4 linked regions of the Drosophila melanogaster genome follow. The protein of the gene in region 1 interacts with the protein of each later gene in a pairwise test. Each region holds a gene or a part of one and is shown in the gene's direction. Other genes may lie near its edges.

Region 1 (7,549 bases):
CATTGAAATATACGTAGCCATAGATGTACAAACTCATATTCTTTCACAGCTGCCTCACATGCAACAAGGAGTTCAAGGAGGCGCAGTTTTTGCATCGGCACTACTCCACAAAGTATCACCGCAAGCGGGTCAACTTGCTGGTTAATGGTCCAAAAGAGGAATTCCAGTCTGAAGTCGATCCGGCGGAGTTTCCGGGATATATGGAAGAGGGGCAGGCAGAAATGGAGGACAACCAGGCTGAACTGGACGTAATGTTAGATAACATTGACGAGGAACAATATGAGGACCACGAGGTACTTCAGGATGAGGACGCAAATTTTGAGGACTTCGAGTACGAGGAAGCCATTCCCGATGGAGAGGAGCTGTACACCTAACTTTAAGCACACAAAAAAAATCGACTGTTGGCGCCACACACTCCACACTCCACACGCCACAATGCCAGGGATGCAAACTATCTGACTTTTTCGGTGGTTCAGAGAAATCCTTTGAATCACCAGCCAGCCGTACGATTAGCACCAGTGTGGAAGGAATTCAACGTCGGTCTTAGATTACAATTTGTTATAAAATATATTTTATTCTAATTGCACAGCGCGCTTATTTTAATAAAAATTATATGGAACCAATTTCAAAAACGTCAGGAATTAGCCGAACGTGTGTTTTAGCTTGAACCTCTCTTTTTGGGAAAATTTAACCTCCCGTTTATAATATATAAATTTTAAATTATAAAAACTAGCTCGATGTTCCCTGGTTTCTAGGAAATAAGAACAGTTAGTTTTTCCACACCTATCTGGTAACGCCATGAAACAGGTAATTCATACAAATTTTGCTGCTTAGAGAGAGTAAACAGAAATTCTCGGATTGCGTACGCTCTTTTACCGTTTTTATTCCATAATTGACAACATAAAATCAATTAAACTACAGCTGATTGTTTTGGGAATTCAGCGGGATAAATGATCATATGTTTGAAATGAAAAAGCCTTCGCAATGCCATTTGTGCGCCTCGTGTTTCTGTCACCTGAATCCCACGATAATTTTTTGCCTGGAAGTTCTGGCCAAGATCAAGGATCTCACTGGAATATGGGTATGTTGATGGTTTCTTGTGTGCGTGAATGGCATAACCCATTTACTCCATTTACAGTTAGAACAGAATGAACGCCAGCCGCGTCATATTTGCCCATCTTGTTTAAATGACTTGAACACATCGATTAAGTTAAAGAAGCGCATTCAACGAGTTCACAATGAAGCAACGCTGAGGCGGGAATCTGGGCTTGATGAGGATCTAGAAAGCACTGTATCCGATATAGAGCCAGAAGGGGATTCCAGTGACTTGGAATCGGAGGAATCATATGATTCAGAAAACTATCCATTTGACAAAAAAGCAGAGGAATCCGATATTGATTTAAATCTCGCCCATGAGGATAGGAGAAACGAACCACATAATCCTTATGATTCGGAAACCCCCTTAATATTTAAGCATAAAAATCCATTAATTGAGACTCCTTCATTTGCAAATGAAAACTTGCCTAACAAAGTCGATGCAAAAAGCCCAAAAAAGGGAAACTTTATACAAATTGGAACCGATCTGAGACTACTTACAACGTATCCCTCTATTAAGGTAGTAAAGCCCCTTGCATTAGCTCCAGAAGATGTGGCAGCTGAGAATGTACCCCCTGCAAAAAGGACAGCTCGGAAAATGCAATCCCTGGTGTGCCCTAAGTGCGGAAGGGTCTTTAAGACTCCATACAACCTAAAGACGCATATGGTGCGCCACACGGGTGAGAAGAACTTTCCATGCACGTTCTGCGACAAGCGGTTCGTCACCAAGTATCTGGCTCGTCTACACGAACGAGTGCGCCACATGGGCGAACAGCCGTTTGAGTGCAACTTCTGCTCGGCAACGTTTTTCACAAGTACAGCTAAGTCGAGCCATGAGCGGTAAGTCCTTACTGCAATTGTATTTAACTTTAAAAGCGCTGACATAAACAATTTCCTAACACTATGACAGAATACGGCACATCAGAGATCTGAGGTACCAATGCGACCAGTGCACCAAGAGATTCAATACCAAGACCTGCTTGAATAAGCACAAGTTCCTGCACTCAGGTCTTAAGCCCTTTGAGTAAGTGAAATGATATGAAATTTGCGCATATTTAATACAAGTCGTGTATTTCCCTCTCAGCTGCGTTATTTGCCAAATCAACTTTGCCCGAAAGGCAACGCTAAGGAGTCACTTCGATTCGGTTGCTCACCAGAAAAGAGCCAGCGCCATCCTGGAATCCGAAGAGCATTGATTCGCCAAAGAATTAGAGATCGTTTTTAATTCCGTCTTATAAGATGCGGGATATGTAGATGAAAGCACGACTTGGATAATTCTGAGGCTCAGGATATCTATTAGACATAAATGTTTGAACGTATTCTCACTGTTTTGGCACTGGATTGCCCTTCGTTTGCTATAACTTTTTTGTATTACATTTTTGTCATTTGCTTTTCCTATTATGAAGTAGTTTCTTTAAGAGTGTAATATTTGGACAGCCATTCATTTCGAAATGTTAAATACCTTACTATTTAATTAATCGTTTTCATTTAAAAACAGAAAACTTATGTATAATATATATTTTTAATTCTTTTTTTGAAGTGGTAAATATATTTGGTAATTCCTATTTGCCACGAAAAGCAAATGCTTGGAGTATATTCCATAACGACCCTTGAATAAAAGGCGCCATTTTCAAATTTTGGCGCCACCGCTTGGCAGTCACCCAGAGACGCGGACAACAACAACAGTTCGCTGCGAATGGCCCAAAATGAAGCAGCAGCTGTTAATAAAGCAAGGAATTTTGGCTCGAAAAATAACTCTTAAAAATGACGCCACAATGCCGGTTGTGTGGAGATTTAATATACACGCAAAATCCAGTTAACATATTCGATGAGAACAGCAAAATGGTCAGGCAAATCGCATTGGTCACGGGCCTTTGGGTGAGTGTGTAAATTAAATTGGCAAATTTAAACCGCTAATGCTCGTTTGGTTTTCAAGCTCACCGACCACTCGAAGATGCCCCGGAATATGTGCTCCTGCTGCCTGCTGAGCCTGAAGAGCGCCATTGCCTTCCGGCAAGCCTGCATCAAGACCAACAATCGACTGACAATCCAGCGCCGAAGTGTGGAAGCCAAGGATGACGGATGCTGGGCTGATCCGCTGAGCGATGCGCACGAGGGGCTGAAGATCAACGATGCGGAAGTGGAGCAGGAGGTGTTGTACGAGGTGTCCTATGCGGATAATGAAGGACTGGAGGAAGACCACGACCTGTACAAGAAGGAGGAGGAAGAAAGCGAGGTTAATGAGAACAAGGAATTTGAAGATATTGCCTGCGAAATACCCTTCAGTAAGGAGGATGATGAGCAAGAGCAACAGCAGGAGTATGAGGATATGGTGGATAAAAAGACAGGACATGATGATGGCGAGGAGTCACAGGAATGTGAGGAGTCACAGCCAGATGAGGAGGAAAGTCAGCAAAATGAGGAGGACGAAGAGGAGTCACAGGAAGACGACGACGAGCTTTGGCAGAACGAGGACGGCGACAGCGATACAGATGCTGATTCTATGTCAGATATAGAAGCCACATCGCGTCAATCGGCCCTTGACGAAGATAAGAAGCCTCGTCGAAAATACACCAAGAGATCATCTCCCAAAAACGACGACACCGACTTTCTCAAACCTGCGAAGAAAAAACGAAAAACATACATAAGCCAAAAGGTCCACATCTGTGACCATTGCGGCAAGAAATTCACCGACAAGGGCAACTTTAATCTGCACGTGCTGCGCCACTCGGGCGTCAAGCCCTTCGAGTGTCCTGAGTGCGGACAAAAGGAGTTCAACAGGTACATCCTGAACATTCACATTCGGGTGAAGCACCGCGGAGAGAAGCCATACGCTTGCCAGTTCTGCGACGAGCGTTTTGTGCACAGTACTATGCGATCGCGCCACGAAAAGTGAGTCTATAGCATACCTTAAATCCCCTAAATTGCACCTACGAACACTGCCATTCTTTCAGCCGGGTACACCGGAACAAGAAAACACCAAAGAACTTCAAGTGCAACTATTGCGACAAGCGATACGAGTCGAACTACCAGAGGGCCAAGCACGAGGTGGTCCACACCGGCGAGCGTAACTTCCAGTAAGATCTTGTGAAGATATATGGCTAGATTTTTCTTTCTCCTAACATATTCCTTTAAGTATCAATCATCTTATTATTCCCACTTTGTAACTCTTTACTTCCTAATATCCACTACATCCAGCAATCAAGTTAACTATTTCCTGCTTGAAAAGTTACTTTTTCAAATGTTTAACTTTGTTTTTATCTACTTTCCCCTTAGCTGTGAGGTCTGCAAAGTGTCCTTTACACGGAACTCGAACTTGAAGACCCACTACCGCTCCAGGCAGCATCAAAATAAGCTGATCGCAATGAGTGCTAAGTCCGAAATTGATTCCAAAAATAAATAAGGTACAAATGTTTTGTTGTTAAGTGTTGTCATCCGTTTAGAGGTCTAATGTTCTTATCTGTTAAAATTATAATAATTTAGTATAAAAGTATTTCTAAGAAGTTAATAAGATGAAATATCATAAGATATCTGACTGTGATTTGGGTGTATCGATCAGTTTTGAAAGTGGATCTTTCATCCTCTTAAATATTTAACGTTTATTACAACAAATCCACAGTTCAAATCGGAAGAACTAATTCCTTGTAGTTCACTTTAAAATGTGCCATTCACACAAAACAATGATAAACTAGATTATTCTGTAAACAGAAGTCCAACTTTGTTTACTTGGCGGAAACTAAACAATTGAGTTGAAACTGCAAAAAGGATGACCACGCTGTGCCGCACCTGTGGCCAGGAGGCGGAGCACGCCAAGTCACTTTTCGATAAGGAGGCCAGAGATGTCCTGAGCAACATCCTCAAGCTGACGGGCTTTTGGGTAGGTGACTATTCCCGGTAACCACGGAGTCATTCCCTCTTCGATTCCAGTTGAGGAACCAGCCAGGTGTGCCAACGAGGATCTGCTTATCCTGCTTGCTGGATCTGAACGATGCCATCGCATTCCGGGAGCGCTGCATCAGGACCAATTCGTCTTGGTTCGAAAAGCAGGGCAAACAAGAGGATTCGGACACTGAGACTGCAAGGGAAGGCGGGAATAACAGGTTAGAAAGTAGGGTGGATGTTATGCCCATTAGTATTGCACAGCCGCAAAGGAGAAGGATTCTACCACAACGCAGCAAGAAAGTGGATGGAGTGCCTCTTAAGACAGTAGAAACCCCAATTTACCCTTTAGTTGTCCCGGAAATACCGCCTGCCGATCTCGTCGATCCTCTCCGGTGCGAGGATCCTATTCAGGTGAAGAGCGAGCCTCAGCTTTCATCTGATTATCCAGTGGAGTCCATGAATCACGAAGAGCCAGCATCCGAAATGCCCCAAGTCATGAAGGAAGAGCCCAGAACACTACAAGTCATCGGGGAAGTACAGAAAAACCGAAGAAAACCGAGGAGCAAAGGGTGCTTAGAGGAGTGTCCTGGCAAGGACATGGCTAAAATAGAGAATATTGACTCAACTACCAATAAGACCAAAGAGGAAAAGTATGCCACACGAAACAAATGGGGAGCTGCCAAAAGAGCCTATGCACTGGAGCACCGACTATATTTCTGCGACCAATGCGGCAAAACTTTTAGCGAGAAGGGCAACTTCAATGTGCACCTCAGACGGCACAAGGGCACCAAGGAGTTCCAGTGCCAGGAGTGCGACCGCATGGAGTTCACCCAACACCTGCTCAATTTGCACGTGCGGATTAAGCATCGCGGGGAGCTGCCCTACGTGTGCAAGTACTGCGGCAAGCGATTTGACAACTGCCTCAAGCGGCTGAACCACGAGCGCAACCACAAGGAGAGTCCCGTCCACCGACCACACGTGTGCTCCACATGCCAGAAGGCCTTCAAGACTTCGACGGCTCTCAAGGACCACATCGTGGTCCACACGGGGGAACAGCCATTCCAGTGAGTTACGGTCAAACAGACACTGTTTGGATCTTTACTTAATACATTTTCTTTAGCTGCGAGCTCTGCCAAACGTTCTTCAATAGAAGGAACGCCCTGGCCACCCACTACAAGTCGAAGCACCATCGCCTGAAAGTTGAGGAGCAGTCAAAAATGCCAAAAATGGATGCTACTGTCCAAGCGGATGGGTAAATCGTTGGTTCCTTGAGAGGATTATTTCGCATGTTCTGCTATTGACATGCAAAATGCCCCTCTGGAAACTTTCTAAAGTTGATGTCAATAAAAATTGGTTACAAATTGCTCCCTCATCCAAGCTGAGTAACGGGTATCTGATAGTCGAGGACTCGACTATCTTCCCTTGTTTCCTAATAAGATATGGCATAGCAGTAAATTGTGGTTTTGCTAACATCAATAATTTTCAATAAAGAATATAATTAAAATAATGAATTGGGCTATTCTCAACAAGTGCTTAAAGTAAACAAAAAGCTTAAAGCCATATGCACCGTACTAAAATCGCTACGCCCGTGAAAAGTGCTCTTGGCTACGCACATGGACACAGCCTGGAGTTCAACCCCTAGTTCAAGGTTATGCAGCCCTGCAAACTGTGCTTGCTGTTTTGCAGAAATTCGCAGTTTGCCGGCAAAGGATGAAGTGCGCAGTTCGCATCTGCGGCAACAGATTCCTCTGCGAGTTCGCCAGTCCAAGCACATCTCGGTGAAAGAAGAAAGCATATTCCGGACTTTCCCAACAGTCCGCGAAACTTTTCATCGACTCAACATTGCCGAAAACGGGAGAGCTCAAATTATTTGCGAATAACTTTCACAGATGAGGTCGTCTAGGACAGCCAGCGATTCAAAATGGGTGTGTCACTCAAACTCTTATTAATATTCTAATCTGGTATATTATGTATACCTTCGTTTTTTTTTTGCATTCAAGGTGCGCCAGTCAAACGACAACAAAGACACAATGCGCTCCTCGCGGCAGGTTAACAAAAAGCTTGTGAAGCTATTCCTGGCGGAGGCAGACGACAGTGACGCCACCTGCACCACATCCACTGCCCTGGACACGACCACAGCAGACAGTGCGTTTTTTGATAGTGATTTCGAAGAGGAGAGCACTGGGCTCCAGGAATGCGATCCCCCGCCGGCAAGCAAGTGCCGCACCTGCTTTCGCATCATATCGCGGCATGAGGATGCTCAGGATCTATATGACAGGGTCAACATAGCGCTTCTGCACCACATAAAGGTCATCACTGGGGTGTGGGTACGTCTGCGTCTGCATTTAAACTTACGTTTTCTTTTTTGTTGTTAAATTGTTTCATCTTCGTTTTATAAGTTAACTTTGTTGACAAGGAACATAATATGTGAGTTCTTAAACTGTTCTACCACAAATTTAACAGAAAAATAAACCCACTATATAATATTATAATAAAGCTGCATTAAAGAACTAACATTTTATTGCAGATACAACAAGGAGTCAAAGAGCTACCGCATCACATTTGCTCAACG
Region 2 (7,291 bases), 8.2 Mb from region 1:
AAATGCCAACCACGAGGAGTACAACAGCAAGCGGGTTAGCGATCCCGGCCAGCTGGAGCAGTCGCCGGACTTGGAGCTGGAGCAGGCGCAAGTGCTGGAGCAGATGATGATCTACCAAAGACTGGAGCAGCAGCTGCGCAAGAACAGCGGCGATGCCACCAATTACAGCAGCTCGAGCAGCATCACACTGAAGCGCAGCAATTCCGGCAGCGACAAGCAGGAGAGGAGCGACCATCCGGATGACGACAACAGCGACAGCGACGAGAGCGGCTACGTGGAGTTCCAGGAGAAGGAGCGACCGGGTCAGCAGCCGCTGATCAGCGAGGCAAGCGTTACGCTGGCCAAGATTGCGACCGTCAAGCCGCAGGTACCACCAAAGCCGGCTCCACGTCGCTCGCTCAGTCTCAACGCGGTGGCCACCGGCGCCTCAGCGGGCTCATCCGCTGGTAAGGCTCCGGGCACCGCTGTCTGAGCGAAATGCTTTAATTACAACGGAAACCCGTCTACAAATTGTTATTTCTGCACACCCGTCAGCGACCATAGCAAAACACAAAGTGCAAGAAATTGAAATCCTAGTTGTAGATTAGCTATTAGCACCTAGTCGTTAAGTCATTTGTTGTTGGTTCATCGAGAGGAAAACCTAACGATATTCGCCCATCCCCCATTTTCCATCCCATCATCTAAATCTGTGCCCCTTGATCCAAAAATAATGAATTTATATTGTACGCATTTGTAAATAAATTAGTCGCCCTACGCACTGCATGTACTATATACATTTACACGATTGTCATTGATGAACTGTATCTTACTTATCAATATAAATTATTATCTGAACGGTGTGTGTGCTGCACAGAGGAAAGTGTGAACAATAACAATTGGTTAAATTATATATATATGATATCAAAATTTGATTTATGTTACATTTAGAACGAATTATAGCCCTAAAATAGAAAGAACCTAAACCAATTTTGTACTGTTTGTTCTCTGTGACCTTATTGATTCGCTTGTGATTATATCGATTCCATTCCCCCAGAGGACAGGCATTCTTGTGCGTTTATGAATTTTAATTTCATTCCAAACTTGAGGCAATTACATTGGACATTTAGCAGATCTATCTACTGGCAGATTGTGCTGCTGCTGGGCAGCAAGTTTTGTTGACGCAACATATAACAAACCGTGCCGCGGAAATCGCGCAGCGAATGGTCCTGCAGCTGCTGATCGAAGACCTGTTGCATGTGGAAACGAATACGAATGTGAATAAGAAAACCAGTTGAGTGCATTCGATTACGGCGACGATTGATCGCGGCTACTCATACTTACGCCATTGTAGACGATGGTGGGAATGAAGCTCGGGCTGTACTGTTTGGTCACCAGCTCCGCCTGCAGCTGCAATTTGGTGCCCGTCTCGCTGGACAGGCAGTGGACCACATCGGTGAGCAGGCCTGCCTCATTGGCACACTGCGTATGGAATGGTAAAGGTATATATAATGGGTACAATGCACACAATGGGCGTTAATCAGTTGGGCAAACACAGCACAACGAGTACGCGGAAGGTAGATTACCTGATCAATGCGGGAATAATCCGGAGCTAGCATCTGGCACACCACGAATTTAACCTGCGCCGCCTGGTTTGCGGTGCTGTTGATGACGCAACTCTGGAGGCGATTGCCCTTGCACTCAGCCGGTCCGTGCTGGCAGTGGAAGATGGCACCATTGCGCTCCGACTGCGATTTTCCGAAGGGCACTAAGAGTATATCAATGTAGTCCCCGAACTCCTCGTAAACGGGTCCTAGCTGATGCATGAAGTTCCTGCTGTCCGGGCACAAGGACTCGTAAAGGAGGGTGATGTGCAGCTAAAAAAGGAATTATTCAGTCGAAAGATAAAAATCATATGATGCCTTTCACCTTAACTATTAATTAGGCTTCGCATTATACCAGTAATTATTCATTTTGGGCTACTGAATAATTCTAGAATCTAGATTCAGATAAATTTACATAAAGAAAGTAGTGTTTTCTTAATCATATTACTAGTTCTAGCCGAATTTAAATAGTATAGAGAACACAGCTTAAAAGAATTTGTTCACTTAATGTAAACAAAAAAGCCAAAGGCGTTGGATTGCAATCAAACCTTGTTGGACTGGCGCTTCTCCCGTGGCTTCTCCTCGAGCTTCGCCCATCCGAGGGACAGAACGAGAAGCAGAAGGCTTGCGGTGGACGCCAACTTCGTCATCTTGTGACTAGTAATTTGAGCTTTGGTTAGCCAAATCGATCGACCTTCGACGAAGTGCGGGAATGAAGGCTTCTGTGTCCGCAGCGAATGCCAAGCCCAAGCTAACGCGACCGTCGGACTCGATTTTAGTTGAGCAACTGAGCGCCGCCGTTTTGTCACATTCGGTGCTTAATTTTGGCTAGCAGCGAACTGGGAACGGGCAGAGCTGTTTTACCACCTCTCATCGACGTTCTCGCAGGCAAGCCGGTTTCTTGACTCAGCCTGATTTCGATTTAAAAAGCTTAACTAAGCATTCATACATTTAACGGATTCGCAATACGATAATTAACACTTTTGGCTTAGTGCAAATATTGGGAAGAAGTTACTATGAAGGCTAATAAACTTTTTATTACTTGTCAATAACTATGCTATTATATTTATTGTATTATATTTATGTACTTCTTTGTTAGATAAGCATAATTTAAAGATACAGTATCTCACCTGTTTCATATTCAACTTAAGCTGCTCCTTGATTTCCTGGCATATATTTTCAAGTACCGAGTAATATGTGAAAGTCTGCCATATCAGAAGAGACAGCATAAAGGATAGTATTATATTCACACTTAGTCTGTTCATGTCTGCAATAAATATACCAACTAGTAACTACGTTTTCCATATCAAACTAATTTGCATGGCCAATTTCACGGAAGCGTTTAAAATACAATTATTTGCTTTATTTGAGTCTAAACGGTGTAGCGCGAACTATTTAAATGCAATCGATTGGCGACTGTGGCTACAGTTATCGATAGATTTTACTTTTAAAAACCGTGACTCAATGAATCTAAATTATCAACTATGAATTATAATGAATTACTATTTTCAATTTCTTGTTATTTTATTAACAACATAACTTTGCTTACCTTTCATTTATAAATACCGTGATCGAAAATTGGAGTCACTAAAGTCACGGCAGAAAAGTTCATCTCTATTAAGCCAAAGCCAAACAAAGAAGCACACAAAAGTTTATACCATAGTTTATTGTTTACCAAAAATATGACCTGTAGTTAAACAGCAGTTAAGCAATGGAGGACCTGTGTCGAATTTGTGGCGGGGCCTCGGAAAACATGCTGGGCATTTTCGACGATCAGGTGGAAGAATATGTTGATGGAGCCAAGCTCGCTGAGATGGTGAAGACATGTGCCGACGTGCAGTTGGATCCCGACGACGCTATGCCCCAAAAAATGTGCATTTCCTGTGTCCACGATGCACGAACTGCTTACGGATTCAAGCGAAGATGCGAAGAGAACTACAAGAAGTTCTATTTGGCGATATTAAATGGGCAGGTCATCAAGGACGAGCCCAACGAGGAGGATTTCCTATTCATTGAGAACCCAGACAAAGGCAATCTGGAAGCAAAGAAGAAACTCAACAAGGAAATTAAAAAGACACATCAAACAGCTTCCAGAACAACCAAGTCTTCCATAACAACCAGTAGAGCTGGCAGACAGCTAAGGAGTATAAAGAATCAGACTTTCAAATGCGAACTATGCATCAAACAGTTCAAGCGCCAAATAAACCTCCTGGACCACATGAAGTAATTACAATCAATACATATGATTTCACCTGTTCTTAAAATTGTATATCTCATTCCACAGGGTTCACAGCAATTCACACGTATGCCAAAACTGCGAAGAGCGTTTTCTGTTCAAGGCCGATCTGGATAACCACCAATGTTATCGCAATAGCAATTCCACCGTCGAGTGCCCGGAATGCTTAAAGGTCTTTTCAAGCACCCAGAGCCTGGACAGCCACAAATGCAAGGATATGCAGGAGCGTTCGCCCTTTCAGTGCCCCCACTGTCAGCAGGCCTTTACTCGCGAACAAAACCTCAAGGCGCACCTGTTGATCCACGCGGAATCGAAACAGGGAAACGGACCCCACAAATGTTCATACTGCCAAACGGGATTCTTCAACAAGTCGGCCCTCAAGGTGCACATCCATGCGCACATGGGCGAACGGCCGCATGCCTGTCCCTTCTGCGTGTCCAACTTCCGTTCCAAGCAGGCCCTTAAGGTCCACATCCGCATACACACGGGCGAGAAGCCCTACCAATGCCCCCACTGCCCCAAGACTTTTTCGGACAACAATAACCTGGCGAAGCACCGACGACGCCACTCGGATGAACGGCCCTACAAGTGTTCCATCTGCCTGCAGGACTTCCGGGAGAAACATCATCTGAAGCGGCACTTTCTGGGCAAGCATCGGGATGGAGATCAAAAGCTAAAGCTAAAGTGATACCTTAAATTCTTGACCAAATACCACGGCTTACTCGAATAAATAAATTAGGATTCGGTTATGTTTATATCTCATTGTTTCTATAGTTCATATTGGGATTTAATTGAATTTAGGATTTATATTTTCGTAGAATTCGAACAGCACTTTGAAAACCATTTGGAGTGGCAACACCGTTTTTCTGTAAATCAAAATTCGATGTAGACACGACGATATAGACAGCGTTGCCATTCGGCCGTGATTTGTTCACGTGGCACCACCATTTTGATAAACAAGCTAAACAACCCTTAAATCGCTCGAAAAGAGCAATGGAAAAAAACAACAAGTTGTATGTTTATAAATTATAAGTCTTACAAATTGTAATTGTGGTTTCCGTTTGCTTAGAACATCAAAGCAGCTACCAACACACAAAAAATACCGAATATTTCTCGACGTAATTTTCCCTAGACGTCCTTACAATTCGTCGTGTTCGCTTTGATCTTTGTCTTGCTTAGATTCATCATCCTTCTCCTCATCGTCATCATCCTCGTCCTCATCGTCCTTGTCGGAAGCCTTTTTCGCCTCCTCCTCGTCCTTCTTGCGCTGCACCTCATCCTGGGCCTCCTTCATTTTCTTCTCGCCCGCCTGGGTGTTCTTGACTTCGGCAGCAGCCTTAGCGGCCAGCTCCACGTCGTCCGTGATCAGGACGTTGTCGAAGATAGTGCCGGACTTGACCTGCCAGAGATCGAAGCCCAGGGTGCAGATCTCCTTGCGCAGATACAGCTTGTCGTCGGGCACATACTCGGGATTGGCGATCTCGGGATGCTCCCAGGCGCCCTTGTAGTTGGGGTTGTCCAGCTGCTTTGGCTGCCACTCGCCCTTGAACTCAGGGTTGTCGATCATCGGTGGCTCCCACTCGCCGTCCATCTCATCGTCCCAATCCTCAGGCTTTGTGGCATCTGGGTCGGGAATGTGCTCTGGTTTGTCCCAGTCCTCGGGCTTCTTGTCATCGGGATCGGGAATGGTGGCCTACAGAGATTTACGTTGTTGTTTAATAACAATGAGCCAAACCGGTTTTTCGATGGGCTAAAGTCTGATTTGGGCGGGGATTTACAACTTACCCTATCGTCCCAGTCTTCGGGCTTGGTGGCGGTGGGATCCTTGATCTTCTTGGGGGCCAGGAAGTCCCAGTCGTCCTCCAGGTTGCCAGACTCCACCTTCTCGTTGTCGATGAGCACCTCGTACGTGTTGTCGGGTCTGACAATCAGCGTGTAGAAGTGGGTGTACACGTCATCTTTGCAGCGGATGTCTTTGCTGATTAGGTGGTTCTTGCCCTTGTAGCTGAAGATCACATGGACCTTCTTGGTGCCGGGTCCGCAGATGTCCGGGCCGAACATGATCTCGTACGGCGACTCGCCGTGCATGTCGGTCTGGTCGAGGGAGCAGTCGAACAGCTTCACATAGCCGCCGCCGCAGTCGATATTCTGCTCGTGCTTCACGGAGAACTGCACCACGAGGGGCTTGTCCTCGTTGGAGAAGCCATCAAACTTGCGGCTGGCCGCGTAGAATCGAGCATCCTGAGAGGTCTGAATGCCTATATAATGTGTGTCCACATCAATACGAATGCGCGCCGCGCGGAGGTGGGGGGCGAGAAAAAATGTGTATACAGTTACTATAGCTACTCGAAAACGTACACGTAGTGGTTTTTCTTCTTCTTCCTCTTCTTCTTCGTGCCCATGTTCTCCGCATACACGGGCACATACAAATGCAGATAACACGCCGACGAAAAATAAAAATGGCAGAACGAGCGAAGAGAAAGATTTGGAAAAGGGAGTGACGACACATCGACACATATACGCTACCTTTGTCGGCCTCAGCATCGTTGTAGAAGGTACCGGGGGTGAGGACGAATTTTCCGAACTCCTTGCCAGGATGTTTGCTGTAGATCCACGTATCCTCCCAGTTTTCTACGGGAACAAGCGGGGGAGTGCTTTTATTATTCTTCTATTTTTATTGTCTCTCCTTTCGTTATTCATTGAAGGGGAGCGGAGGACCACATGGCGGCCATAGAACGCGATGACTACCACTTACCGTTGTCGAAATTCTCCTTCAGATAAACCTCGGCACTAATAAAGCCGACTGTCGCCAGCAACACTATCACTGTTTTGCACCACATCATGTGAACGATCCCGCACCACTTTTTGGACTGACTCTTCCAACTCCGATGGTTGTCCGAACTCGGTTAAAGTTAAGTACTAAATGCCGGCAAGAAAGTGCTATTTATTTATTGCATCTAAATCGTGCGTGTCGGAGCGGGACGGCTTGTTACTGAAATTGGTTTGCTGGAACGTTTTCATTGGCCCAAATCAGGCCAATCAGGGATGTCTACGTATTCTTTTTCACCGGCCAGGGCTGATTTCGATAAGCAATCGCATGCTGCCCTGTCGCTATCGATTGCTTGAGCTGGAATTAGAAACACTAAAGTGACCGTTTGCTAATTAAATTAAATTATAAAATATATAAAATTAATATATTCTGGCATACAATTAATCACTTGCAGCAGGCTAAGCTAAGAAAACATAAAATTACTCCAATAACAATTCTTCTACTACTTAACAATTGTAGTAGTTACAGGAAGAACAGTTGTGCTTCCAGAACATTCCTAAGCTTTTTAACGGCTTAAGGGTTTTGAAAATTTTAACTCACACTTACATCACATGTTAACAATTAAGTTTTCACCCGATAAAGTTCATAGTATTTAAAAAGTTAGAATGTTAATTATACATTATAATACAAATCAAAAACAAATAA
Region 3 (7,756 bases), on another chromosome or scaffold:
ACAGTGCCAAGACGGCTCAGCAGGATCTAACGCAAAACAACTTTGTGTGCTTCGTGGCCTGGGGATTGCCGGCCTTTCAAACGTCAGCAGTGATCGTTGCCCGTTTCGTGGATGCTGACGAGTTGCTTGGTGAGATATGCTATAGATCCGCCGGAGAATTCGGAGAGTAACCCAACCATACGCTCTTCTAGGCGCCTGTTTCGTAGGCAATCAGTCGGATAAGGCGCTACAGATATTGGTGGCTACGCCCGTTTTTTGCTACTGGATCTTTGGCTCGATGAATCTGATCTCCGGCTATTTGGTACACTGTCGCACCAAGGAGATCCTGAGGAATAGCAATGCACTCAGCGTGCAACAGCAACTGCAACAGCTAAGCGCACACAGTAGTTCCGGCATTGGCATATTCCTTTTCATCTATGGACTTGCATGTGCCATGCTTCTGTTGGCTGTCATTTACGAGTTTGCCAACATCGATGTCTGGCTGGGATCGGGTGATACCAATACGCCACTTTGGCCATTTTTGTTGCGCGCCTTCATGGAACTGATGCTGGGCATTTGCTGTTTTGCCTGGGTACTTGGACCAAGCATTTCCACTCTCTACAAGAGGCAAGTCAGCAATGGCAAAATGGTGAAGCATACGTCTGCCGGAGCAGCAACTGGACACCTGGACGGGCATAGTAGCTCGCGTGGATCGCATGCGGCTTGCAATAGCACGGTGGTCTCCTACCATTCGGTGCGAACTTCTATGGCCAGTGTTCCGTTGCCGCCAAGTCCGTACAAACTGAAGACTTCGCCTGGTACCGGCTCTATATCGCTGAATCAGATGTCCAACTATTCGCTGGGCAGGAGCGTGCATCACCAGCAGCGCCATTCGCCGCATCATCATCATCACCAGCAGCAGCAGCATCATCAGTTCCATCCCCACCACAATCACCAGCATCACTCCACATCCTCGCATCGGCTGTATTATCCGCCAGGTAGCTATGCCTCGCAAAAGTACAGCCAGCACGGCAGCTACTATCCCCACTTGCAGCAGTATGGCAATGAGACGCTACTCTAGACGGAATTGGATTAGGTACCATTTCAGGGCAGGAAATGCTTCCTGCTTCCAGTCAATGTTCCTGCAGCAGCTGCTGTGCCAAAGTCAATCCTCTACTATAACTTAATGCGGTTTCGGGTATCGAAAGAGGCAAAGCAACTTAAATGGGTGGGGAAACGGTCCAATTTGTTTGTCATAAAACGATCGTGAGATAACGATATCGTTATTTCGATTTTAGTTGCTTTGCCTGTCCATAGAACACAATGGGGTAAACCGATCTATGTACTGTGTATATAACCCCGGAAATGTGCTCTTAGTGCTTTAGTTTGGGCCTTTATCGCGAGGTCATAGGTCATCTACAATGTATTTGTAATTGCCCTAGATGGGCTTCATATCCTATTTTCCTGTGTGTACTTAATGTTGCTCCTAATTAGTTGCCCCTTGCGTTGCCTTTTTACCATTTTGGTGTAACCAAATTCAATAATCGCTCTTGCCTTTTAGACATTAGGACTTAATGTGTGTCGCCTTTGCGTACATAACACATATATACATATATATATTTAGCATTTTTATATAAATTCTTTTTTTTTGAGTTAGAGAGAGAGAGAAACGCGCAGCAACCAAATACTGTGATACGCATGTTCATGTCTTCAAAAACAAAAAAATAAAAATGGGAACCAGAAACTAGGTTTCCAACTTTGCTGTCTTCTCCCGATGCCGAAACAAGTGTACTTAACAATCGAAAAAAAAAAACGCAATTGCAATCGTAGCCGTAATGCCTAATTGTATTCAGTGTGCCATTAGCTTTAGGGACTTAACTGAAACGAGTCAATATCATGAAATTACCTTAAAAGAGTCCTTTTCCAGCAACGAACTTTGGCGGAATTACTGAGGGTTTTCCTTCAACTTCTGCTGATTTTCGCACAGAAAAAGTCCTACTTCTAAATGTCCAACTAACTAGCTAAGAAACTAACTAACCTTTATACAATTGCGGGCTAATACGAATCGTATGGAGCCCGCGACTAACAGTATATGTATTGTATTGTATTGTATTTTATATGTGTATTTTTTTTATTATCATATATGTATATGTATAACTTATTTGCTAGCGAATAAAGTGTCGAAAAGTTAATATCTGTTTTGATTCATTTCGTTTCGCATGGTTTTTACCAAGTAAAAGAGTCTCCAAGTGTCGCCAGTACTCCATGAGCATTTTGTTTCGCCTTCCTGCCAAGAAAATCGCCACCTTGCACAACCCACCTGGCAAGTGGGTGGCCCAGTGGGCGCCTACTGCCGTGTGGGTGGCAAGGTCGCCTCGCTGCGTGTTGGTTCGCATAGGACGATGGTTTCGTTGCGATTGTTGTTGCCGCTGCTGTTGTTGTTGCTGCTACTGGTCGTGGTCGACATGGCCCGCGGGTGCCAATTGTCAAGGTCCTCGTCGCCGTGCTCCTTGGCCCTGTGGTAGTTCTCCAATTCGCTGGCATACTTGCTGCTGGTGATACCAAGCAGGTGGGCCAGCCCACCGCCCACATAGTCGATGCCGGCCAGGAATCGGTTGCCCATCCTGCTGGCCTTGTAACGCAGGCGTGGTCCCAGCGGCATTTCGCTCTAAAAGGTGGCAAAAAAAAAAAAAGCGGGCTAAATGAGTCACGCTAAATGGTCAATGAGGAGGGGGGCGGGGGGTGGCAGCTGCTTATCTTTTTCGTGGCCCTGGGCCCTGTTTGTTTACTTAAACAGCTCAAAACACACATTTTCATTGAAAGATATAAAATTTCTCACATTATTATCATAATTCGCTTCGAACATTAGTCACGTCTCGAGCTCAAAGTGAAAAGTTATTATCTGGATCAGGAGAACTGGGCTAATCTTGAGCAAATTTAACTAACTGTGTTAATCCGGACAATCCCGCTTTAAAAAAGGTAAACAAGCAATGCAGCTACATGACCATGTACTAAATGGATGGCCGGAAGTGCATTACTCCACCCATAATCCTTGCTGAATGTATGTACCTCGTTTAAATGGACGTCGTAGCATTTGTCGCCCATTTCCGCATCCGCCTCGTCCTCGCTGCCCGAGGACAACTCCTCCATGACGCCGTCGCTAAAGTACAGCATGCGCTTGTTGGACTGCAGTTCAAGGGCGCTCACATTGTCCGTCTCGGATGCACTTGCTCCACTCGCAGATGCCAGTTCCAATCCTCCAGCTGCACTGCGTACTTCGCCACTCTTGTTCCTCTCCGCTGACATGGCTATGGATAGCTCTAAACCCGATTAAGTACCGCCTCGATTGATTGACGCTGCGCGAATGTTTTTGCTTGCGCTTGAGCTTCGTTTGAATCGCAGCCGCCGTTTTGGTCATGAAAAAAGCGGACGCGGGTCAACGCCAAATGCGTATACGGCCGGCTGGGGGCCAAAATGTCCTTGGGTTGGGGGCCACCGGCGAAACGACTCACAAACGGCGAGAATCGCGTGCCATGGGGCGCTTGGCGCAGTTAGGTGCAAAGCAAATCGATAAACTAAAAGCCGCTTTCAAACAGCAAAAAAAAAAGTCGAAACAAAACAAAGGTGCGGCAGTGTGACCAGCTGATGGTTTTTGCAAGCTAACTGGATATTAATTTAGATGTATTGTAATAAAAATGAAATTGCAGTCGTATATATCGTAAATGTTTTTGTTTATAAAAATAATTAATAATATAATAAAAAAATTAAGTTGTGCGTGCACATCCTGTGCTTATAATTTAAATAATATAACAATAAAAAATATTATATTATTAAATAATTAAGTTTAATGGTTTCCTACTCTGTACAATTGACTGGTGCAATGGTTATTAACTTAGCAATATATTCAAAAACTAAAATGGTTATCTAGTGTTCCATATTTAACCATCGCTTGCAATGCATCGCGTTTTAAAGCTCTGGTCACACCAAACAGCTGTTTTGTTTGCTTCGTTTAATTCGTTCTTTTTGCAACAAATTGCATCCCAATCTTCCAAAGCAGGTATCCAAACATGGAGTCCCCAACCTCGCACCTGGTGGCCAAGGGTGAGTGGAAAAAGCGGCAGCCGTCAATGGAATCGGGGTCATAAATTCCCAATTAGATTTCCAGGTGACGGGTGTTTCGCGCAGCGGACGCGTACGCAAAAAATCGTCGAAATTGTTGGATTTTGAATCTCCGGATGAGATCGAGAAGCGCACAAGGCGTCACAGTGGCGCCAGACAGCCAGCCAGATATTCGGGCCGCGGCAGGCCATCGAATGCGCTGCGTGATCTGGATCTTGACCAGGAGATGCTCGTGGATGATGGCATTATCTCGGATAGCGAGGAATTCCATCCGGATACAACGGCAACGGTCGTGGCCATTCTGAATTCCGACGATGAACTGGACAATCTGGTGCAGGATATCGTCGATGGTGTCCAGGCGGAGGCCACCAGCCAAGAGTCATCCGTCCGTCAGAGTCTTTACATGCGCGAGAAGTCCAACAAGCGGCAGGTGCTCAAGGACGGCAAGGTGGTGAGTGCCAAGGTGCAGCGCAAGGACAAGGGCAAGCAGCGCTACACCGCCTACAGTCTGTGGGCCAAGGAGGCGCGACAGAAGGATCTCCAGGATCTAGGTAGGTTGCTACACATCTGTGCGCTCTCTATCGCTTATTGACCATTCCCCGCACGCTTGCAGACTTCACCAGCGCGACCAGACGCCTCAGCGAGCTGTGGGCGAACGTTTCCAATCGGGACAAGAACACCTGGCGGCGCAAGGCCAAAATCGAGGCGTCCAGGGCCAAAACTCGCGACAAAACCGCTGCAAACGGTGCAACCCAGCCGGCGAGCAACGGCAGCACGGCTCTGGCAGATGCCACGCAGCACGAGACGATCTTTCAGAACCGTGCGACAACAAGTCGCACTCGAAAACTGGCCGCCGATCGGCAGCAATCCTCAATAGAAGCGGCTGCCGCAGCGGCGGCAGCAGCAGCGACTGGCACCAACACACAGCGGCGCAGCATCAGCACACGAAGTGCCAGGTCGCAGGTCTCGAAGAGCGCGACGAAACAAGCGCAAGTGCACACGGATGCGGACGTCAGCGGCCGGACTGGGGGTCAGCTGAAGCAGGAGGAGGTGCAAAAGACCAGCATCGAAGTGATCGATGCGGCCGCACATCTGAAGCTGCTCGGCGAGAGCCTGACTGTGATTGGCGAGCGACTGAAGAAGCACAATGGATACGTGGCGCTATCGGGCAGCTTGTCCGTGCTCCTCGACAGCCTGCTCTGCGCCATGGGACCGCTGCTCTGCATGACCACGCAAATACCCGGCATGGAGAACAATGTGCAGTTGAGCAAAAATCTGGCCGACACGCTCGACAACATCGCCTACGTAATGCCCGGACTATGAAGTAAATTCCGGATTGCAACTGCAAATGCATACATATATATATATATATAATCATACCAGGCCGCTGCGCTTCCAGCGGCGACTAGAGTCGCCATCGGGATCTGTATGTTTGTAAGGAGTTGGCCAACCTGGAAATAGTTAATCGCATTAGATATGCCTAGTTGATAAACTGAAGCATCTAGATCGTAAGTAAAAGGTCTCCCTCTAATTGAGTTTTTTTTTTATTTGCTTCTTGAATTGAAATTCGTACGCTAAAAAGTTTAGTAGTTCACTTATTTATTTCCACTTTTTGTTTTTTGCAACATTTAAGCACAAATCATCGAAACATTGGTAGAATTAGGCAACATTAAATATCCTATAATCCTTAAGTGAAATAAATGTGAATCACAAGATTCTTATTTCAGCTTCAAATTAAGCAGGCACTTTTTATAATAAACGTAATAAATAAAGATAAATATAAAAGCTAAAAATATGAGATGATTTCTTCCTCTGCCCAAAAATCTTTATAAAAGTGAAATATTTTTAAAAATGATCTCAAATAAGCCATAATTGAAGGTTCGAATAGTGGAACTATAAGCTAGATATAAACTTTAAATATTTATAAATACGTTAATTATTTGCTTACTTTCTAGAGATGGCACTTCGCTGGTGCGCCATCGATGACTTGGCTTGCCGTTACAACGGCGAGCTATCGATGTTACATCGCCGCCCTGCCCACCACTAGCCAGTCCGCGGAAAGTAAATAAGAAGACGGACGCCAAATCGAATCTTCCCACATCCCCGGATGCAGTGCAGCAAGCTCTGGGTCCCTGAGAATCCTGCGTGGGCCTGGGATTCCGAATCCTCTTCCGCCCCGGATCCGCACGTCAGCGCGGCATCCGCATCCGCCACCGCTTCCGCCCACGCACAGCATCCGCAGCCACATCCGCGGCAGCAAAAAAACGGTGAGTTTTCCACCTGCATTTTTTTTTGGATTTTCCGGGGGGGGGGGGGGCAGCAGCTGTGATTGGGATGGAAAATACTTGTGTAGGTGGACGGTCAGGTTGTAGGGGCGAATTGCGTGACGGCAGCGCTACAAATTGGATTAGTGCGGCGATTGATTCTGAATGGGAGATGTAAACAATCTTCCTGTGCACTGAGAAAAATAACATGGTAAAGCAAGGCACAAAAAAAGATGGAAAGATTGGTTGAATAAGATAAAATAGGTTTAAGACTAAGCTGAAATATCATTAGCCAAAAAACATGAATGTGAAATGAATTACTTTAAAGGATTCTTAAGCACAATTTGTTTAGAAAATAAATTCGATTCAGTAACTGTTAAATTCAAAGCTTAAAAAGAAATGGAATACCTTGCGATTTGCAGTCCAGACATTTTCTCGCAGTGCACTAGCTCCCCGCCCGCTGTTTTGTAATTGGCAATATAAGGAATGCCCGAGGTATCTATTTTTATACCGCTTAGCATAGTCGTTATGGTGATAAATTCCGAAGGGGGGGTGGGGGGTTTGTTCGTTATGCTTTTCAACCCCGTGACCTCCCACCGCGCCCAATGGGGCATACTTTTGGGGGCGCCGGGAACTGGGAGGTGTTTTAATTCCACCATCGTTGGTTTATTGAAAAGTTGTCATAACTCAGAACAGACAAGCCAGCAAAGTTTCGAGTCCTCTCAATTGCGGGCAAATACAGGCAGATCTTAAAACTATAATGTTTCATTAAATTCACGCCGTCATTGAATCGAATATCGTGTTTTCCCGTTGGTAACTATCTAGATATATGAACTAATTTAAAAGGAAAACTCAAGGTTTTTATGTAAAACGAACGCGTGGTTTTTCTAGCAGCTCATTTTCATTTCAATTGAACTTTAAGATGAGCTTAAAACTCGCCTTTCGCATTTCAAATACCAAATAATTGGTAAACATTGCCATTTACACAATCAATCATATTATAACTTCTTCGGGTAATGAGAATGAAAACCTTTTCTTTTGGATTGAAAGTGCAATCGGATTCCGAGAGACGCCATAATCATAATAGTGCGCCCGCGGATGGGCATATGTTCATTTGTACATACATACATCTCATCCGAATCGGACTTTGAGCCATGTTCTCGACACGCGAGATAAGCGGCCGGCAATCAGAGAACTGGTTTCAATTGCGGATCGGGTCAAAATCGCCCAACCTTGGGCCATTGTATGCAAGTTGTCTGTGCGAAACTCAATGAGCATAAATTAGTCTCAATGCAGGAATGCCTCAAGTGTCCGGCCGCTCGTCCATTTCCATTGTCCAACCATTATTGCAGCTGGCCAAGCGCTGGCTTATCACTCGAGGCGAGGCCCAAAAG
Region 4 (7,813 bases), on another chromosome or scaffold:
CATTTACATTTCAATTGCAAGTCGTGCCAGCTGTGCCTTTTCATGATTTTCGAGGCAGGGGAAGCTGCTCATCAAATCATTGAAATTCCAAAAGCCACGCGGTACGATAATAATATGTGACCGCAGTGCAAATTAGTCGGAGCAACAAATGCAAAAGACAACACGCTCCGAAAGCATTTCTTATGCCAATGTTTTTATAGCTCATCCAACTCGATTTTGTTTATAAGTTTTTTTTTTTTTGTGAATGACCGTTTATACTAGAGGCCCGCTGACGTAAAAACGTTTTGTGGCGAATGTTTTGAGGTGAATCAAATTCAGATAATTCAGAGATACACAAAGTGCCTTCGCTCCAGTGGCAGAGTTTGTTATGCCGAAAACATTACTGCGGAAAAGGTCAGATATCTAATAAATACAATTTAGTATGCAAATTCCGAATTTCTCTATCAAAAACACATTTCCAATTTATTCTTGACAGATCTCAGATCGCTCAAATGACTCATAAGCCGTTGAGCCTCAACCTCTCTGATCAGCAATAGCGCCAGAACTGGTTTATTGTAATATTAGTCATATTAAACGCTAGATACAAAATAAGATGATTTTCAAAAACTATAATAGCTTGACATCTTTATTGTTATTCCCAAAGGTTACTCCCAACCTTCCTTAAAAACCTTGTATTGATTCATTTGCGAGTATATATCCCACATATGAGTGAATACACCGCATTGAATGGCCTTTTATGAGCCTAAACACTGCGTTTCGTGTTACTTCTGATCTAAGCGTTTCACCATGCATCATTTTGCATTTGCATTTTGCATTTTGTAATTGAAGCTTCTGCCTTTGCCACATCGGCTACCTCATCAGCGCTTGCTGCGCGTGTGTGATGTAAGGCCCATATTTGCTTACAGATAAATATTGCATTGTTGCACTTGATGTGGCTGTTTCAGTTGCTAAGCCCGTTGTTGCCGGCGGGTCTATTAAAATGCGGTTTTCAGCACCGTCGCACAATGCTTAAATAACTAATGTAAACACATCATGAGAGTCGAGACGAGACAACGATGAACTCAATGACAACAACGGTGTTGGGTTCGCTAGTTTGCATACACTACACATGGAAAAAAAGAGCCACTAACAGCTCTTAGAAACAACAACCCGGTCATTCTAAGTGCCTAAGAAATAAATACTCAGCTAAACATCCTCATGTGCCAATTCATTTTTTAGTCGGATAAGATTCGAAATGGGAAGTTGGTCTTCCTCTTTGAACATTGAATCACTTTCAAAAAAATTACTTTCATGCTTAAAGCACATTGAGAGAGAGGAGTGTTCGCAGTGCAACTGCAAATGTGATGTGAACACAAGTCAAACACAAACTATGAGTCACCGGGGCACCGAGGAAGCGAAAGCCCTCGGCATGGGGCTCGAAACTGTAGTCAGAAATCGGTGTGCTGGAGAGCTCACTGTAGTTTTATGATTCAGTTCCAGGTTGCACAAGGAAGTGCAGCATAATTCAGCGTCATAAAGGCTGACAGAAACGACCGACTCTCTCTCTCTACTACGTGCCAATCAGACCTCGTGTGATGCAGTGCTCGAAAAATGCACGACAGCCAATTCGACTGACAAATGGCCGCACACAAGGCCGACAAGTGCCCACTCCCCGTGGCCATAAAACCCCATATCCACACCCCGTGCCCCACACACCTTCACCTCCACCCTCCCTTCAATCACCAGTCTTTGCGTGTGTCACTGCAGCAGCACTCGATATTTCTGTGTGTACTTGCAGTGGGGCATGCACAACAGCCTCGACAATAGACCGGCAGCAGGCAGACTCCTGGACGGGATGCCATGGAATGGGACGTTGGGATGGGTCGGTGCCATGTGCCCACCGCTGCCATGGCCTACGCCACGCCAATGACATTGAACCCGGCGACTGGGACGACCCTTTGTGCCATGCATAGCATTACGGAAAGGAGCTCGAAGCCCATTCACACTTGTGGATGGTTTAAAGAGCGCACTAAATTGGCCACGAGGGTTATTTTCGGTACAGAGAAAAGAAATTACTTATAACAACTTCTATAGTCTTGTATTTCAATGTTTTGATATCTGTTTTCCACCATCGCAGAGTAGTAAAGCATTTTAGAAATGAGAATATAAACAAGACGTTCCTCGACTATCAGATATTCGTTGCTCAGCTAATGGGAGTGCTGGACAACTGGAACCCGGACACCGGTACCACGACACCAGAAGTTGCACGCTTAAGCTAAAACTTGTGACTAACTCTACAAGTAATAAATCTAATGTAAAGATTGCGATTGTATGCCTCTTCAAATGGCTATAGTAAGAGCCCAGATTATGTCATACCATCGAAGTTCAACCGCCACAATTCGCACTCACATCGCTGAAGGGAGCCAAGCGAATGAATCAACCCCTAGTCAGCGAATTTAGTTTTCGTCGGCCGTCGAGCAATGCACTCTTTGTAGGTCAGTTATGGGGTGGCATGGGTGGCCACATGCTCCATGGGTCTTCGCTGGTGTTGCAACACTTGGTGTCGTCATGCGTCGCGTGCCCGGGCGTTTTGCTTAATGTGATTAAGACAAAGCGACAACAAACCAAAACAAAGTGCATTCGCTGACGGAACAGGAGAAAATCAAAGCGACCCGAGTTTATTGCACCCCTTTTAGCCGGTTAGACGGTGGAAAAGGCTTTTCGTGTTCTCCGACACAGGAAAAAATAAATTTCATGCAAGCTCAAATATTAAATCAAATCGGGCAAGACATGGACTGTCGGCTATACTTAGAATATATGCAAATAATGGTGATTAATCTGGAATATGGACATATGAATAAATATTATAAAAAGTCTAAATACAGCTGCCTACTAACGCTGGTATGTGTTTGTTTATTGTGTACCTCGAGGCTATAAGATATAGCCCCATATCTTGGAAAATGCAATTTTACATACACACAACCATTAGTCGCAAATATCGTGGCGAAATTGTCGGAGGGCGCGATAAGATAATTGCCTACATGGAACTGGTACCGAAGAGGTTCCTGAACTTGCCATAAATTACCAAATTTCTGGGCACCGTGCGAAATAGAATTGATAAGGTCGCTCGATAAGTCCGTACCACTTCGGATTCTGAGTGCTGAGTGATGCACTCAATCGACTAAATGGGTACAAAGCCAAACGAGTTGGATTTACAAACAGACTCACCTTGAAGCGGGTTTCGGTTTTCGACTGCGGTCGTAGCTTCTGTGAATGAAATTCTCGGTTCTCTGGGCTGCTGGCTGTCTTCGGTGTTTCAGCAGGTGATTGTCGTGATTCTCTGGCGGAGATGAAACAGCATAGCAAGCGGTTCCCTAATGTATTTTTCCGAAACTATGGTGTATAATCCGTATCCGTGTTCCTAAGTTAAGTTAATCCGCGCGCTAGATCCGTCTATCGTTTTTCGAGTGCACAGGTGTTGCATGTGATGTGTATCGTGTCCTGTGAGTGCGGGGGGAAAGTCCCTCCCACTGTTGGTAAGAATTGTAGAAATGTGTAAAAGCCTGGCTAAATGCCTAAAAGACGTACAACGACGATACAAATCCGACTGATTTTCATTTTTACACAAACACACGCACACTGCGACAGCACACTCTCACTCACGTACACGCACGCACACACTGCCAGGTGGGCTGACTTCTGATTCAGTGCGATTTTCGCGTTCTGCAAGGTGTATCTACAACCTCCCGAAACGCGTATTCACTTCGATTTCCGGGTTCTAGCGCTGCAGCATTGTTTATCTACCACGGATATCCAGATTTTCTTCGCAATCGGTCGAGAAAACAATAAATTTATTGTGCAGCTTAGAGGTGTAAGAGAAACATAGACGTATCGATGTCTCTCGATGGTTTGTGCCTATCGAAATCGGTGTCCCGCAATATACACAGCTTCCACTAAGCGAAATTTTAGCATTTTGGCATACGTGTAGAATTTAAATGGAAAATTACCCTTGGTAACGCATGTACGATCAAATTCGCACCAACTCAACGGTTCCTAATTCTTGTCGTGCAAATGAGACAAACAAATTTATAATTATTAAAATAAAATATATTCACATCGGATTGTATTGTTTCTTATATATATGGCCCAAAATTAAAGAATTTCATTTTAATTAAGAGCATGGTCGGCGTTGCCATACTTTCAAAAAGTTTTCCTTAAGCTGGGGTATATTCCAATAGCACAACAACGGTCACTCTATTTCAAAATTCAAAACAAGCTATTGGCGTCGTCTGTCTGGATTTTGTGTATGGAATAAGTAGATCAGAAGAAGCAAATGGGATCCAAAGTGGAGCAGCAGTACAAGCTGCTGAATGCGGAGCTAATGGACCAAGTGCAGAAGCAGCGCTTGGAGATCGGCGAGTACAGGAAGCGGGTGATATCTTTGGAGCGAGAGATCATGGACATTCGGGAGGAGCACGTCCTGCAAAACCATCGCCAGCGCATGGAGAACATCAGTATCGTACGCAGCCTGATGCTGAGCCTGAACGTGGACTCCGATTCCCTGGCAGTGCGTCAGGAGCCCGCTCCCGCAGCTCAGATAAACAGACCAAGCGGCCCGCGTCGCAGCTCCAGGGAAATCTGCAAGGACATGCGACGGACGTGTGCGTTGGCCCGCACCACCAGACCAATCTCGCCAAGAAGATCTTCCTCAGTGACCAGTACTGTATCGTCCACTAGTCGCCGCTCCAGCGCAGAAGTGCAGTCCGAGGTGGTGACCACTAGGATACCAGAGGATAGAAGAGCCAACAAGGTAACTTATACTTAAATTTGATTATGCTTTTCTTAACGATTCATTATCGGCTTGAGTACAGCCTACACCACCGCCACGAAGACCAGCGGAATTAGTGTTTGATGAGGACGACTCGGACGATGATTTCGACGAAGCAGTAAGCCCCGTGGAGGAGACACAGACTGAGCAAAATGAAGAGAACAATCGTCTGTTTAGCATTATAGAGGAAAATGGCAGTGAAGGGGAGTCCACAGACTCGTCATCATCATGCGAGGCCATCTATTGCGACACAACGTTTGAAAGTAGTCCGCCAAACGCCCAAGTCACCGTCACGCCCAGTGGACGGGCTCTGCGGGAAGTGGACACCAATATCCCTGTAGCAGTGTCCCTCAGTCGGGGAAAAGAGACTGGGAAGGGATCATGGTTGGCTATTTCCGTAGCTGTGGAAGATTCTCCACAGGAGCCAAGCATACAGTGCCCACGACTGGCAGTCACCAGGCCTAGTCAATCGTCTGGAATATTTCCTGATGTCAACGGATTAACGCCGCGAAGAAGCCTGTTCAATGGGATAGGCAAAATGGCCGGAAGCACCAGCACTCCGAAATCCTTTCTCGTCGAGGAAATGCCATCTATAAGAACTAGAAGCCGAACTGCGGCTAATAAGAAATCAGAAAATACGGATATGTCTAGTTCTTTCTGCAACAACAGCGCAAGGCCGAGTAGAAGCTGCAGGCCCACCAGTTTGGTGGAGCCAAGTCTGAAGAACAAGTTGCGCAATGGCTCGAAAGGCAAGGCCAAGGCCAAAAAGTAGATAGACGAATTTTTTAATAGGCTTTAATGTTGTTTCTGTAATTTCATTGGTTTTCAATACCACTTTTTACCATTTTTAATATGAATAATATTTTTAAATCGTCAGGCCCTGATAAGTTTAATTTATAGACTAAAAGCTGACATCGGATTACTTTTTGCCTGCAATAGAGGGCATATTCAGTTCATCCAGCGCTATCGGAAGGAAGACACTCCATCATCATCATCACCCAAAGATGCCAATAGGAATTTAAAAGTACGTCTAATTTTTACATGTTCATTTGTGAATAAAACAACGTTTCAATTAATTATTTGTTAATACGCTTTTAGGGGAACTCATTTTATAGATTCCTCTTAGATGCAAACTACGTTTATTCGCACAAAGTTGTTGGAAACATTTACAAAAGACTCTGAAGAACAAAGTACAATTACAATTACAATTAAATACAGTAGCAAAAGGGTAATGATTATACGTAGGTAGGCGATAATTGCACTTCTTTTAGACTACCTCGAACTTGCCCATACAACAGTTGAGATGGTCTCCTGCATGGTTGTGGCTTGGCTGCTCCGTGTTCTCCTTGATCTCGCTGATAATGTCCTGTATCTTGTTGATGATCTGTTGCGAGTTTTCACCTTCGCCAGGAGTGTGTTCGCTACCTGCGGCCGCTTCTGGTTGCTTTGCCTGGGCGGCATCTGCGGGTAGCTCCACGCCCAAACTGACCACCAGCTTGTTTAGTGCCTCAATCTTCTCGCGCAGCTGCTCTCGCTCCGCTTGCAAGAGACGCATTTGGGCGGCCTTCTCGTACTCACGCTGCTTTAGCATGCGCCTCTGCGTTTGATAGAGGGCAATGTACTCGCCAATCGTTTCGGTTTCGCTCTGCAGCTGGAGCACCAGATGCTCCAGGCTGTGCTTCTCCTCCGTCAAGTCGGCGACCTGGCTGATCAGTGTGGTGAAACGCGATTGCAAGCGTTCCACGGCCTCGGCGGTGGGCAGCGTTTCAGCTGCTTGTCTGTGGGCGTGGTTCTGGCCGTGATCATGTGGATGATCATGCTGATGATCGTGTGGATGGCTATGTGAATGATCATGTGTGTGATCGTGCGGATGATCATGTGGATGACCATGATCACCAGCATTATGATGGTTATGTTCATGGGAATGATCGTGGTCATTATCATGACAATGACCGTCGGAATGCTGATGAGAGTGATCGTGCGAATGATTATGCAAAAGACCAACTTCCTTCGCTTCCTCTGCTTCGTTTTCCGGTGCATCTGCTCCATTCTCTTTTTCGGTTTCCTCACCGGCGTGATAAGCTTTTGCCTGAAAGAAATGATAATGGGATATAAAGTCAGTTAAATTTTAATCCCAGTCCAACCCACCTCATAATGCCTGAGACGGTCCAGCTGCTGTTGCAACATTAACTGCTGACGTTGTAGTTCCACGTTCTCGTGCGATAGTCTAATCATTTCCTCATCCTTGAACTTAAAGCGCTCCTCATTTGCTTGAAGCTTTTGCTCCATGCTGTTGTAGTTCTGGCGGATTTCTCGGTTGGCAAACTCTTCTGAATCCAAGCGGATGACCAGCTCGGCTTTGTCGTTTGTCAACTGAACAAATCGCTGCTGCAGTTCGTCCAACTGGTTTTTCATCTCTACATTCTGGGTTAGGGCACGCGATGCGGCCACTTTGTCTGACTCCATGGTGGCCAACAGCTTGGACTGATCGGGCTGCTCAGCTTGCAAGCGTTCGAGTTGCTTTTCCAACTCGTCTAAAGCCGAGTTCTTTAACTGCAGCTGATCGTCCTGCGACTTGATCTTCAGCTGGAATTCGTGGCGCTCAAACTCGAAGTTTTCGATCTGCTCTTTCAAGACAGCCAGTTCATCTTTTAAGGCTTTCTGAAATTGAACTAGGAGATTAAACAGGTTTTCCATATTTTTTTGGCTTACTTACCTGCTCGCTGGTTTCTTCCTTGGATGGCTGCACTTGACTGGCCTCTTTAAATTGGGCCTGCAGGCTGATGTTCTTTTGTATATCCCGCTCCAGGGCGCCCACGTGCTCCACAAGCTGGCGTTCTCGCTCCCTCAGTGAGTTCAGTACCTCTGAGAGTTCTGTGTTTCGTTCGTTGAGCTTGGCGATCTCGCCACTCTGATGCTGCACATAGTTTTGATACTGACCAGCTGCCTGCTCCTTGTCCTGCGTTAGTTGACCCACCATCGCTTGGAGGTCGCGTATCTGTTGCT

What was found.
Region 2: the proteins of Nnk (region 1) and CG8319 interact in a two-hybrid assay, tested with the Drosophila melanogaster proteins (one large-scale study listed by BioGRID).
Region 3: the proteins of Nnk (region 1) and CG4617 interact in a two-hybrid assay, tested with the Drosophila melanogaster proteins (one large-scale study listed by BioGRID).
Region 4: the proteins of Nnk (region 1) and mei-S332 interact in a two-hybrid assay, tested with the Drosophila melanogaster proteins (one large-scale study listed by BioGRID).

Annotation. Positions count from the first base shown.
Region 1 is NT_033777.3:17,800,479-17,808,027, reverse strand, and holds Nnk (nicknack), read left to right. Parts: upstream 1-2,778; 5' UTR 2,779-2,859; coding exon 2,860-2,973; intron 2,974-3,031; coding exon 3,032-3,987; intron 3,988-4,049; coding exon 4,050-4,172; intron 4,173-4,371; coding exon 4,372-4,498; 3' UTR 4,499-4,803; downstream 4,804-7,549. Other genes in the region: Odj (oddjob), read left to right, coding at 50-374; CG17801 (uncharacterized protein), read left to right, coding at 959-1,081, 1,139-1,935, 2,006-2,119, 2,180-2,291; CG17806 (uncharacterized protein), read left to right, coding at 4,862-4,972, 5,023-6,041, 6,098-6,233; CG17803 (uncharacterized protein), read left to right, coding at 6,867-6,902, 6,978-7,304, 7,505-7,549.
Region 2 is NT_033777.3:9,624,107-9,631,397, forward strand, and holds CG8319 (uncharacterized protein), read left to right. Parts: upstream 1-3,214; 5' UTR 3,215-3,291; coding exon 3,292-3,803; intron 3,804-3,864; coding exon 3,865-4,504; 3' UTR 4,505-4,570; downstream 4,571-7,291. Other genes in the region: CG8312 (uncharacterized protein), read left to right, coding at 1-472; CG9427 (uncharacterized protein), read right to left, coding at 1,116-1,226, 1,321-1,458, 1,563-1,853, 2,129-2,230; Calr (calreticulin), read right to left, coding at 4,955-5,509, 5,602-6,074, 6,343-6,447, 6,572-6,659.
Region 3 is NC_004354.4:7,100,685-7,108,440, reverse strand, and holds CG4617 (uncharacterized protein), read left to right. Parts: upstream 1-3,949; 5' UTR 3,950-4,046; coding exon 4,047-4,080; intron 4,081-4,136; coding exon 4,137-4,649; intron 4,650-4,711; coding exon 4,712-5,421; 3' UTR 5,422-5,606; exon of another isoform or gene 5,607-5,731; 3' UTR 5,732-5,886; downstream 5,887-7,756. Other genes in the region: fz4 (frizzled 4), read left to right, coding at 1-129, 192-1,060; CG8300 (uncharacterized protein), read right to left, coding at 2,327-2,647, 3,049-3,285.
Region 4 is NT_033778.4:22,118,686-22,126,498, forward strand, and holds mei-S332 (meiotic from via salaria 332), read left to right. Parts: upstream 1-3,415; 5' UTR 3,416-3,515; exon of another isoform or gene 3,516-3,877; intron 3,878-4,217; 5' UTR 4,218-4,312; coding exon 4,313-4,789; intron 4,790-4,850; coding exon 4,851-5,579; 3' UTR 5,580-5,682; downstream 5,683-7,813. Other genes in the region: GM130 (golgi matrix protein 130 kD), read right to left, coding at 6,075-6,896, 6,956-7,468, 7,524-7,813. UniProt on the Drosophila melanogaster protein: Plays a central role in chromosome cohesion during meiosis and mitosis by preventing premature dissociation of cohesin complex from centromeres after prophase, when most of cohesin complex dissociates from chromosomes arms.